3 linked regions of the Cricetulus griseus genome follow. The protein of the gene in region 2 purifies or fractionates together with the protein of the main gene of each other region. This does not show direct contact. Links are inferred from orthologs where the notes say so. Each region holds a gene or a part of one and is shown on either strand. Other genes may lie near its edges.

Region 1 (4,270 bases), about 130 Mb from region 2:
TGTGTGTGTGTGCGCGCGCGCGCGCGCGTGTGTGTATGAACTTATAGACTTATATACACATTCACATAAGGCGAACAAAATCTTTTCCTTGGCCATATTAAAGGTGACATTGATCTGAGTTTGGTAATTTTGTAAAGTTCAGATTTGGATATGTCTTGCAGACTCTTGAATACAAACTAGCACAAAACCACACTGACCTAGGCACTTTTCCTGTTCACACTTTATTGTCTGGCGTGCAAACGTGTGAGAGAGGCATTCGGAGCAGGGAACTTTAGTAGTAGAAATCTGGCTTTGCCTGTGTTTCCACCTTCACAGTTTTCCATGGCTCCTTTCATCAGTTTTTTTCTTGAGTCCCAGCTTCTAGGTTTGAATTATTTTACCGTGTGACAGTAGCACGGCGACTAACATTGTGCAACCAAAAGGAATAAACTGGGACTACTGCTTTGACCTTTGTTGCCGACTGCACCGGTGGTTGAGGACATTTTTCTTCAAGTTAGAAAGAAGGGAATGGACTTCCTGACATCAACCTTTCCTTCCCACCACCTCCTCGTCCCGCCGGTCCCTCGGGCGTGGACACGAGGGACTTTCCTTGTCGCCCCGTTAGCAAACAAAGCCGGGAGAGGCAGGCAGGCCCGCACAGAACCTTTGGCGTGGAGGGAGCGCGCCACGCGTCTCTCGCCGCTCAGCGAGAGAGCCTGCCACGCCCCCAGGCGCGCGCCCGCCCGCCCGCCCGCCGCTCCGCCGCCGCTCCGCCGCCGCTTCCTGCTGCCCGGGCTGCTTTTCCCTGGCCTCTCTCCAGACGCGCTCCCGGAAGGCGCCTGCGCAGAAGCCTCGGGCTCCTGCTCCCCTCCCTTCCTCCGCGGCCCGCCCTCCTTTCTCCCTCTCTCTCGGGTTTCGCTGCCGAGAGCGGACGGCAGGCAGCCGTCGAGTCGGGTTGTGCGCGCCCGCCCCCTTCCTCCGCCCCTCCCAGCGCCCGGGTCTCCAGCCGGCGGAGATGAGGCTGCGGCGGCCGCGGCTCCGGCAGCCCCGGCGGTGGCTGCGGTGGGGGCGGCCGGAACCCGGGCCTTGAGGCGCGGCGGCGGTGGCGGAGGAGGCAGCGCTGCCCTGGCCGCTGCAGCGGGCTTCCCTTCCTCTTTAGCGTAGCCAGGAAGTTTGGCGCCCTGTGCATGTGTGCGCGTGAGTGTGGGTGTGCGCGGCCAGCTCGGGTAGCGTTTCTGCAGGCACTGGGCTTTTTTGCCCGCGTCGCTTCCCGTAAGCCAGCAGCCGCCGAGCTTGGGCTGTGGCCGGAGGAGGGGGCGCGGCGGCGGGCGCTCTCCTTTTGTTGTTGTTTCCTCTGCCTGGAGAGCTGAAGGGGGACGCGCCTGGGTGGGGCGGCTCGCAGGCCGGGCCTGCTGGCCCCCGGGGCTCCCGGGCGGCCGGGGTAGCTAGAGGAGAGCGGGCTTCAACATGATGGCGGCCGAGGCCGGCAGTGAGGAAGGCGGCCCGGCCACCGCGGGGGCCGCAGGCGGTGCGGCCGCGGGCTCCAGCGCCTACCCGGCAGCGTGCCGGGTGAAGTTACCCGCGGCCCTGCCGGTGGCAGCCGCCCCCTGCCCCGGGCTGGCAGACGCCGACCTGGCTGCGGCCCTGGGTGGCGGAGCCGCGTTGGGGTCCGGGTTCCTGGCGACAGGGCCAGTGGCGGGTGTCCTGGGGGGCGCCGCGCTGACCAGCGGTGCTGCTGCTGCTGCTGCTGGCGTGGCGGGTGCTGCCGCCGCCGGACCTGCTGGGGATGTTCCTTTCGCCAAGGGGACTTTGTCGTTGTCTGCCGAGACCCTCGGGCCGGGTGGCGGATTCCCTCCTCTGCCGCCGCCTCCTCAGCTGCCCCCTTTGGGCTCCGGCCTGGGCACGGTGGATGAAGGTGACTCTCTGGATGGACCTGAATACGAGGAGGAAGAGGTGGCCATACCGCTGACCGCACCTCCCACTAACCAGTAAGTCCAAAATGCTGTTGAGGGATTGTGGAAGCTGGTTCCATGAAAGAAGTGGGCAAGAAAGCAAAACAGACCATGCTCCTGCGGCGGTAATTTGTTTGAAAAGTTTTGAAGTTTCACGTTCCTTATGTAGGGATTTAATGTGACCAGACATCTTCCCTACGGCACTGTCCCTGGCGTCCTCGTGTGTGTATTGCTTTTCTGGCAAGACAAAGTTTTTCAGATGGGAAGCATGGGAAACTGTATCCAGTGAGGACCGGATATGGTTCTGCCCCTTCCTAATTGAGATAGTGTCCGGGATTCAGCAGAACTTGGCACTGTAAAGGCAGCCACTGTCTATGGTACCTCCCATGCCCCTGCTGAATCTAGATTTACAGTGAGAACCATGAGTACAGGTGTTTACATGGGTATTACATTAATGTAAGTTGGAAATTCATTGGTCAGAATGTTTTCTTTTTGCTGCAGTTGCAAATCCCTACTTAATGTTTACTGGGAGAGTTGTGATTCAGAAAAGACTAGATCACTTTAGAGAAGCAGCCGAGAATGGAAGGAAGTTCTGTGAATTACAGGTGTGATTAAGGGCTCACACACTGAACACTAACTTGTTCCTTAATGTTGTTAGTATTCATGTAATACTTCTATACTGAGACAGTACAAAACATTAAAAAATAAAATATTGGTCGTGGCTGATGCTGTATTGTTTGGAAATTAATTTTGGTAGTTTATTGTGAATTAATCAGGGAAAATGGCTTTCCCTTTTAATTTAGAGTTGTCTCTTTAATGTGTTCTTTTCCTAAGTGAAATAGGTATGTCTTTGTAAATGTAGGTTGATTTTGATGAGGGAAAATTGTTGAGGTGGGAAGTGGTAATAATAGACGAAGCATGTTTTATAGAGCCTTCGAATCAGTCGTAATTGACCTTTAGAATTTCAACACCATTGGTAATTGTAGGAAAAAAGATTTGGTTCATATATTGACACTTTCTGGACACTTGAGAAGTTTTCTTTGGGAGGGTCAGCTTCTTAAGAGGCTTAAGAAATGACCTAAAGACAATCAGGGAAGCATTTTGTAATAGTAATCCATTCTCATTTAAGCTACATTTACTGCTCTTTTGAATGCATGTTGTGATTTAGAAATGCATTGGTCAGAAAGCTTTGTGTTTGTTGACATTTTCAGATTTCAGTTTAGGTCTGTTTTGATACTTCCCAGCTATGGTGAAAGGGAGTTATGTTCCTTTTATGTCATTCATCACAAAGTGTAACCTCTCTTTTCTTATTTTAATCTAATTTATGTCTGTGTATTGCAGTCTATCTTAGGAATATTCTGTGTTAAAAAAATTCCGGCATTGTGTATATACCTTTTTTGCCAAAATCAGTTATGCTTTTATTATAATAAAATGCAGTATAATGAGAGAATGTGGTCTTACGCCATTTTTGTAATTGAATTTGATTTAGGCATATTTACAATCTTGTTTTCTTAAAGGCATTTGAAACTTTAGTTATTTTTATTTTATGAGTGTTTGTCTGCATGTGTGTATGTGCATTGTGACAGTGTCCAGTGACAGAGGCCAGAAGAGGGCATCAGATTTCCTGGAACTGGAGTTACAGGTGGTTGAGAGCTGTTCTGTGGGTGATGGGAACCAAACACTGCTCCTCTGAAAGATCAGCAAGTGCTTTTAACTGCTGAGCCATCTCTCCATCCCAGTGTATTATTATTAAATTATTTCCAGCAGACTCATTTATTTTATTTTATTCTTTAAGAGAGGCTGTCATTCTAGTGTAGGATGGCTTGTAACTCACCGTATAACCCAAGCCACCCTTGATCGGTGATGATCCAGTTCAGCCTCCCAAGTGCTGGGATAGTAGGCTTGAGCCATCATATTCCCTTTGTAGGTTATAATATGCTTTAAAAGAGGAATTTAAACTTGACAGCAAAATGGAATGGAAAAATACAGATTATTTTCACACTAAATTTTTAAGATTAAGCATGATTATTTGGAGAAAATTTTATTTGTGAGAAATCTATTAGAAGTAATTTTATTATTTTTAAATATATTTAAAAATGAACATAAAATTTGACTTAGAGTAGTTCATATATATATATATATATATGTTTTTTTTTTTTTTTTTTTTGACAGGGTTTCTCTGTGTAACAGCTCTGGCTGTCCTGGAATTAGCTCTGTAGACCAGGCTGGAACAGAACTCACAGAGATCTGCCTGCCTCTACCTCCCCAGTGCTGGGATTAAAGGCATGTGTGCCACCACCACGGCCACCAGCACCCAGCTAAGTTGTTCATATTCTAAA
Region 2 (3,070 bases):
CCTCAGGTTGCTCCTCTCCATCACACTGCATCCTCTGTTCTTCCTCTCTGCTCCACCCTTTCTCCTTCCTTACTTTCTCTTGCTCTCTGGCCCTCTTGGGTATTCAGTCTGCCCTGCTCCTACCTGGATCCCCAGTGACGACTCTCAAGGATCTAAGATTCGGACTCTGGTGGGCTCCTCTCCACAAGCCAACCCAGCTCAAGTCTGGCTGTAGGCAGCAAGAAGTGGGGCAAGGAGGGTGACTCAGCTTAGCGGCTAAAGCCAGAGCACATGGCAAGGCAGGCAGGGGTGGGGATGGGGGTATGGACCATCTCTGTAAGCCCATGCTCTCCTTCCAAATACCACAGCAAGAAAAGCCTCGCTTCACATCTGGAAACCCAAGCACAAGGCCTAGGTGGTCACCCCACCACTTCCCAGGATGGGAGGAAATGAAACTGGCTTTTTTTTTTTTTTTTTTTTTTTTTTTTTGGTATGTGAGAGTTGGAGCAGAAGGCAAGGACCTGTCTGGAACAAACTGTCTCCACATTCTTGGACACACAGACCCAAACCTAAGAGATGGTCTTTTAGTGAGAAGCACCAAGTTTAATATTAAAATTTTTCCCTTTAAAAAAAGTACAGATAGGAAGCTTAACAGCATATAAAATAGCACTTCTGGTGTCTAAGTGGGTTATCGTGAGTCCTATGAGTACTTGTAAACCTAGGTGATTACATCTTTGGTACCGTTGTGAGCAGCTCTCCCCATCCTCCAGCAACCTCTGCTGCCCCAGGCAAGGGAACTGCCGGCCAGCAAGCCAGCATGGGAGAGCTCCCAGAGGGGCTGGCTTCTCCTTCCCTATTCCAGCCCACTCCTCACTCCCCAGGATCCTCCAATGCCCATTGGTTCAGGGTTGGTAAAGAGCCACTGCTGGATTTGGGCAGTGACAAAAACATCCCTGTACAGTGCTGCCTGAGGACAAGGGACAGCAGCCAATTGAGATGGCAATCCCCATGGCGTCTGCGTCTCATGCCCACCTCAAGCTTCTTGTCCTACACAGGACACATCTGCCTTCACTCTGGTTCATCATGTCCACACTCCTGATGACAGTGGCCTGGGGTGACCTAGCTTGCCTTTCTCTGCCACTCTTGCTGGCTCCAGATTTTATCATGGTATGAAAAGGGTCTCGTGGTCCTTCTGTGTCCTCAAGACAGCTGTAGGGGGTTTTCCTGGGACACTGACTGTTATGCCAAGTCAAGGTCTGTGCAATTGCACTTGGGGACCTGAAGGAGAGGCTCAGTTCCTGAATCCCCAGATGTGGTATCTGGAATCTTCCCAGAGTTCAGCCAGAAATGTGGCTTAGGGACTTGACCCCAGTCTGCCAGGATAAGTCCAAGCTCCTGGAACACTCTAGACTCGTAGTATTGACAGGGTACACAGTGTCAATGAGTCCAGCTTGCTTACTTTTCAAAGGGGAAAGAAAACTGGTACCCAGAGAGAACAAGGGAGTCTTCCAAGGTCTCATAGCAGGTCCAGTGCAGAGTCAGGGCTCCTACTGGTGCCTTCAGGAAGGCGTTTAGCATATGAAGGCATGGACTATGGGCCTGCAGACTCTGGTGGGCAGGTCAACGGAGAGTGATGAAGATGAAAGGCGTGGGTACCTCTTGTGGCCAGGTGTGTCCTGTGGGCTGCAGGCCAGAGCATCCTGTACTCAGCTCTGCCTTCTCCCCTAAGAGTGTTCATGAAGCATGGCTGGCCCCAGACCAGCTCGGGCCTGGGAAAGCTAAGACTGGCACCAGGGGAGGAGGGTTCTAATGAAATGGCCTTGTCCAAGGCTGGCCTCTGTTTGGCCAGGAGTCAGGCACCAGGTTCTTGCCAAGTTCTTGGGAAGATCAAAGTGGAGTGATCCAGCTGAGGGGCAACTGGCTACACAGGAGGACGTGAACACACCACTTTACACCCAGGACTCTCTCCAGGAATCTAGGTTCCATACCTGTCCAGGCCAAGCCCAACTCTTCCTCTTACATCTGGGGAAACGGAGTCCCCTGGAGGAGCCCTGGCTCAGAGTCTCATGGCTTTCCAGAAGCAGAGGCTCAGTTCCCACAGTTCTCTTGCCTCCTAAGCTAAATTGGTCCCTGGACCTTGAGTGCCACACACCAGGGGCCTTCTTCAAGGGGACAGCTGGTGGCAGTGCAGCAGCTGGAAGGCCAGGCCAGGCCAGGCCAGGCCAGGCTAGGCCAGGAGGGTTGGGTGCTAGGAGGCAAATGAGAGTTTCAGGTTGGGTGGGGTGGGGGCAGACCCTACAGGAAGCTGTCCTCTGCTTCAGCCAGAGGTCCCTGGCAACCTGAGCACTGTGGCTGCTCCAGCTCTGCCTCAGGCTCTGCCTCAGGCTCTGCCTGTGGTTCTTCTTGGAGATCCAGGGGGCTGTCGCAGGAGATGGTTGAGGAGGTGTTGACTTCATTCAAGGTGGAGCTAGAGGAAGGACACAGTCAGAAAGGAACTGGGGAGACCCCAGGAAGATAATAACAGCCTTGTCTAAGGTTTTCTGTGTATCAACTTTCCATACTGAGAGGCCTGCACCACAGGCGAGCACAGCTTAGAGAGTTATGTCATTGCTCCATAACACACAGCAAGGGAGCATGGAAGCTAGAACTTGAGAGCAGGGCCATCAGGCTCTTGAGTTTCTTTCTCATCTCCACTTGCCTTCAGGGCCTGTGAAGGCCTGCATGTACTGCTAGTTCCTATGGAGAAACTGAGGCTCACAGAGGCAAGCCCTGTCCATGTTTCACAATGACAGGCTAGAAATGGAAACCAGCATGTCTCCTGCCACTCCTCCGTGGGTTGAATCTTGATTTGGGGGAGCCCCCACTCCAGCCTGACAACTAGGAAGCAATAAGGCTCCCCTAGAGCCCACCCCACAATGGACTTGCCACAACCCAAGGCAGACCATGTGCCTCTTCCCCTGTCTGAGTTCTAAACTGAATTTGCAGCACCTCCACCTCCTACAAGCAGTGCTCCCTGGAGCGCTCTGGGCATGGCAGCCATGACCCACACTAACAGCTGGGGAATGTTAAATGTTTCCTCTCTGTCCTAGGG
Region 3 (4,135 bases), about 84 Mb from region 2:
CAAGAGTGACTGGTATTTTTAAACTATAGGGGAAAAGTAGTGGGCAGGAAAGATAACACAGACCTTGAGCTCCGAAGCCAAGGCTGCTTCACTTAAACGTACTTCTTAGAAAATTAGATTTGCTGAGGGGAGAGAGGGGAGTTTCTTGCCAAAATCATTAAGGGAAAAATGATTCTGGACACGTCTTAAAACAGAGATTTCGGTAAACAGGAATTACCTATAAAGAAAATCAGGAAGGCGAAGTGTTTCTTTTTATGAAGTTACATCCTGCCATAGAAAAGCTGGATCGGAAATAAAGACCGAAGCTTTCCCAACTGCACACCAACCCAGCCATTTATTTCATCAGGGAAATTCTGAGCAAAACACTGGGCAATGAGGCAATGAGTGAAAACAAGAAAACCAACAGAGGTTTGAATGCCCCAAGAAGTCAGACAACCAAAGGCTACTGTTAAGCATCTGGAGAAAGAGTGCAAACAATCTCTGCTGTGTGGTTTTGGGTTTCTTTGTTGCAGCCCCCTTGCATTTCAGCAATACTTTCTCCTGACTTTTTCTGGAAAAGAAAGATATATAGGTGCCCACAAAAGTGAGAGTAAATAGAATATGATTTTTTTGTTTGTTATTCGTTGCGCGTTTGCGGGGTCGTCTAGCTTTGCCGGCTTCTGCAATGGACTTCTCTACTTTGCTCCTCACTTCTGTGATTTGCCATCGCCATTCTTAACACCTTTCCATTTTATCCTCCCACTTTCAAAGGCGAGGCTCTGGCGAAATAGATTCCCGTGGCTGTAAGGCTGCAGTGGCAGGTGTCAGTCTCTACTAGCAAAGCAGAAAGCAGCTCGTAGCCTCCGCTCTCTCCGGTCCACCCCATTAACTCCCAACTCCACACGATCCTCAGACACACACCCCCTCCTCCTCCAACCTCGCATCCCGTCGCACACCCCGCGCGGCCCGCATGCCAGGATGCCCGCCACCACAGTAACGCTCAACCCACTCGGCGGCCCCACCCATGGCCGTCCCGCCTCCCACGCGCGCACCAATGGCTGCGGCCCACAGCTCCCAGAGGGCCCTTTGATAGGGCAGAGCGACCTGACTGTCTCCGACGAGTCCCGCCCCCTCTCGCACCCCTCGGGATCCGGAGCAACCGGAGCATCAGCGAGAGTAGCTGCGAGAAGCCGCGGCGGCGGCGGCGGCGCGTCGGTGCAGTTGCGCCATCTGTCAGGAGCGCAGCCGGCGGGGAGGGGGCTCCGCGGAGAGGAGAGGGGTCGCCGTGCGCCAGGCCTCCGAGACCCGCCCGCCTGCCGGCCGGGAGCACACCGAGGCCGCCTCGAGCCGGAGCGCTCCGAGGACTCCCCGGGCGCACACAAAGCCACCGCCCGCGCCAGCCAGGAAGGGACCGGGCTGCCGGGCCGGGGACACCGGCGCCGCCCCCTCGGCGCTTCGCGAGGCCCCCGAGCTCCCGGGCCCCGCCGCGGAGCCGCCGTAGCCGCCTGGGCCGCGCCGGAGGAGGGCGGGGAGAGGACCATGTGAATGTGCTCCGGAGCCGAGAGCCACGCCACGCAGGTAAGCGGCCGGGGATGCGCGGAGCCGCGGGATGCTGCGGATACGCCCGGCCCAGCGCCCCCGCATGGGCTGCCCCCGCTGCGGTCCCGCCGCGCAGCCTCCGGGGCGCTGAGCCCCGGGTTCCCCGCGACGCAGGACACTGATGCGGGGTGCCGTCCCCAGGCTACGCGGGCACCGGGGTACATTTCCTCGGCCGCCGGCGGGAGCCGGATGAAAAATAGGAATTGGCTTGGGGGCGAGGTTGGCCCTGCTCCTCCCCCGCCCTCCTTTCGCGGCCCCCCGCGGGGACCCGGGCTGTGTGTGTTGTTTTAATGTCAGGGATGATGTAATCACTTAATAATTGATGCCCCGTGCTGCTTTCCTCCCCACCCAACCCCTGCCCCACTCCTCCACCTCTCGGCCTCCTCCCTCGGCGGCCCTCGCCTTCCCTAGCGCATCCTCCTGCCTATTTCTGGAACCTCCCTTGCACTTCCCCCATCCTCCCCTTCACCCTTCCTGTGCCACCACCCACCCACCCTTCCCCTTTCCCCTGTGCCTGGCCTTGCCTCCTCTTCCTCTGTCCCCCACCCCTTCTGCTCTGTCAAGCTCGTTTCTCCTCCCTTCTCCACTCGCTGGATTTCCTCCCTACTTCCCTAGGTCGGTGGATGGTTTTGTTTGGTCTCCTCCAGGCTCTCTTATCTCTGAGGCCACAGGCAGAAGGGACTGGGCTAGAAAGAGGCCACCAAGCTTGGGCCCAGGAGGCGTTTGCTGGGACTCACTGAGAGGAAGGATAATAAAATCACCCATTTTGCCCCTCCTTCCTCCAATAAATCAGACTCGCTCTGTGTGTGTGTGTGTGTGTGTGTGTGTGTGTGTGTGTGTGTGTGTGTGTGTGTGTGTGTGACACAAAGAGCCCTTTCAGTTTATAGAGAAGAGACATAAAGTACCCAGGGTACCATGCTTCTTGTTTCTCATCCCGGGGCTTCCCTTTCTTTCTGATGAAGCACTTGATCTCTTAGTCCTTTCTACCACATTTACCAAAAAATGAAAGCTCCCAGATCCAGGGTGGCAGGTGCAGGCATTTTGCTGTATCCACCGACTGGTAACGCTGAGTGGCAACTGCAGTTTCTTCTATTTAAGGGGGTGGGAGATTATTACAGCTGTCTTAGGAGTTGCTGTACTTTCCAGGAAACCTCCTCTCCTCCCCCATTTCCCCCTCTTTCTATTTGAGGATAGGTACTGATACCTGTGACAGGATAAATGGATGGAGGATCAGAACAAAATTGTTTCTGAGTCAGAATCAAAACTGTTTAAGAAGACTGAGGCAGCCAGACCTTAAAGCCCTAGGCCACTTGGCTGAATGAAGTCTTTTGAAATGTGCTCTGGTCTTCCCAGCGGTGTTACTCTGCCCTTTTATTTAAGTAACCGGGCCTGTGGATACAACACTGGGCTGGCATTTGGAGGACCATTGGAGTCAGCACTTGTTGGCTTCAAGGTTGACTCTGAATGCCCACATCCTTCCCCTTACCACTAAAGCGACTACAGTACTTTCCATCCTCTGTGCTCTGTGTCTGTCCTCTGCCTCATGAGTACCAAGCATTCTGCAGATGAAGAAACTCAGATTTCAGAGGAAGTGGTTTCAACTCAAGCTTCAGGGGTAGTTAACGGGATGTCGGTGTCTGAATTCAGAACCTATGATGTTCCTCTTAAGATGGAGATGTAAATCTCAGGCTTGACATGTCAAGATTTAGGTTGGATCTGCTGACTCCCGATTGTGGTTCCTCCGCTGTTGAAAGTAACAAAACTGTCCCAAGTTTACTCTTTAGCCGTTTTAGAGTTGTGATATTCCTTGTGGAACTTTTATATTTAAAAAATGCAGAAGGATTAATCCTAAGTGTCCTCTGAAAACAGGGGCTGGTTTGTTGGGATACCAGACCCAGAAAGGAAGATCAGTACACAGTAAACTTGCACTGTGCTGCCCAAGTTAGAAGAACTTATTAATGATAAGTTAACATGGACAAATGCTCTCTACTTCCCCGGGTCTCCAACCCCATCTGATTTGCTTGAAGTCTTTACCCTCCAGGCCCAGCACAAATGCCATCTTTTCTTTCTGAAGCCTTCTCCATCTCCTCTGCTCCAGGCAAGCCACCAGGTCTCCAAATCTGTTTCCCAACATCATCATCAGATATTGTTTGTCTTCTGTCTGTTTCTACCACTAATTGGTCAGCACCTTGAGAAGAGACACTAATCAGGCTTGTCTCATTTTCTATCAAGTTTTACTTTAGTTGGTATTTGGTTGGTTGTTCATTGAGTGAGCAACAAATGTGAATTGGGTCAATGATACGTATCTGACATCTGTTTTAAGTAGACTCATGTTGGCAGCTATAATTGGCCTGAAAACAGACTGGTACAAAAACAAAAGATATTTATTCTTGCTCATGTGATACTCCCCAATAGGTGTTTCTGTTAAATAGGTGGCTTTCTTCTATGCTGTGTGTGACTCTGAGTGGGTCCCACTCTTCCACTCTGCCATAGTTTTCCATTGTAACCTGTTTCAACTGATAGACAGGAGGAATAGAGAGAGTTAGGGAGGGCGCAT

The links.
Region 1: the proteins of Pdgfrb (region 2) and Rasa1 purify together in Homo sapiens (co-immunoprecipitation; 5 studies listed by BioGRID and IntAct, with this or other methods). This does not show direct contact. The link is inferred for Cricetulus griseus from reciprocal best matches to the Homo sapiens genes PDGFRB and RASA1.
Region 3: the proteins of Pdgfrb (region 2) and Fyn purify together in Homo sapiens (pull-down; 3 studies listed by IntAct, with this or other methods). This does not show direct contact. The link is inferred for Cricetulus griseus from reciprocal best matches to the Homo sapiens genes PDGFRB and FYN.

The regions. Positions count from the first base shown.
Region 1 is NC_048595.1:305,271,581-305,275,850, reverse strand, and holds the start of Rasa1 (ras GTPase-activating protein 1), read left to right. Parts: upstream 1-1,446; coding exon 1,447-1,967; intron 1,968-4,270. UniProt on the Homo sapiens protein: Inhibitory regulator of the Ras-cyclic AMP pathway. Stimulates the GTPase of normal but not oncogenic Ras p21; this stimulation may be further increased in the presence of NCK1.
Region 2 is NC_048595.1:178,020,423-178,023,492, forward strand, and holds the end of Pdgfrb (platelet-derived growth factor receptor beta), read right to left. Parts: intron 2,447-3,070; coding exon 2,275-2,446; 3' UTR 557-2,274; downstream 1-556. UniProt on the Homo sapiens protein: Tyrosine-protein kinase that acts as a cell-surface receptor for homodimeric PDGFB and PDGFD and for heterodimers formed by PDGFA and PDGFB, and plays an essential role in the regulation of embryonic development, cell proliferation, survival, differentiation, chemotaxis and migration.
Region 3 is NC_048595.1:261,872,922-261,877,056, forward strand, and holds the start of Fyn (tyrosine-protein kinase Fyn), read left to right. Parts: upstream 1-1,216; 5' UTR 1,217-1,557; intron 1,558-4,135. UniProt on the Homo sapiens protein: Non-receptor tyrosine-protein kinase that plays a role in many biological processes including regulation of cell growth and survival, cell adhesion, integrin-mediated signaling, cytoskeletal remodeling, cell motility, immune response and axon guidance.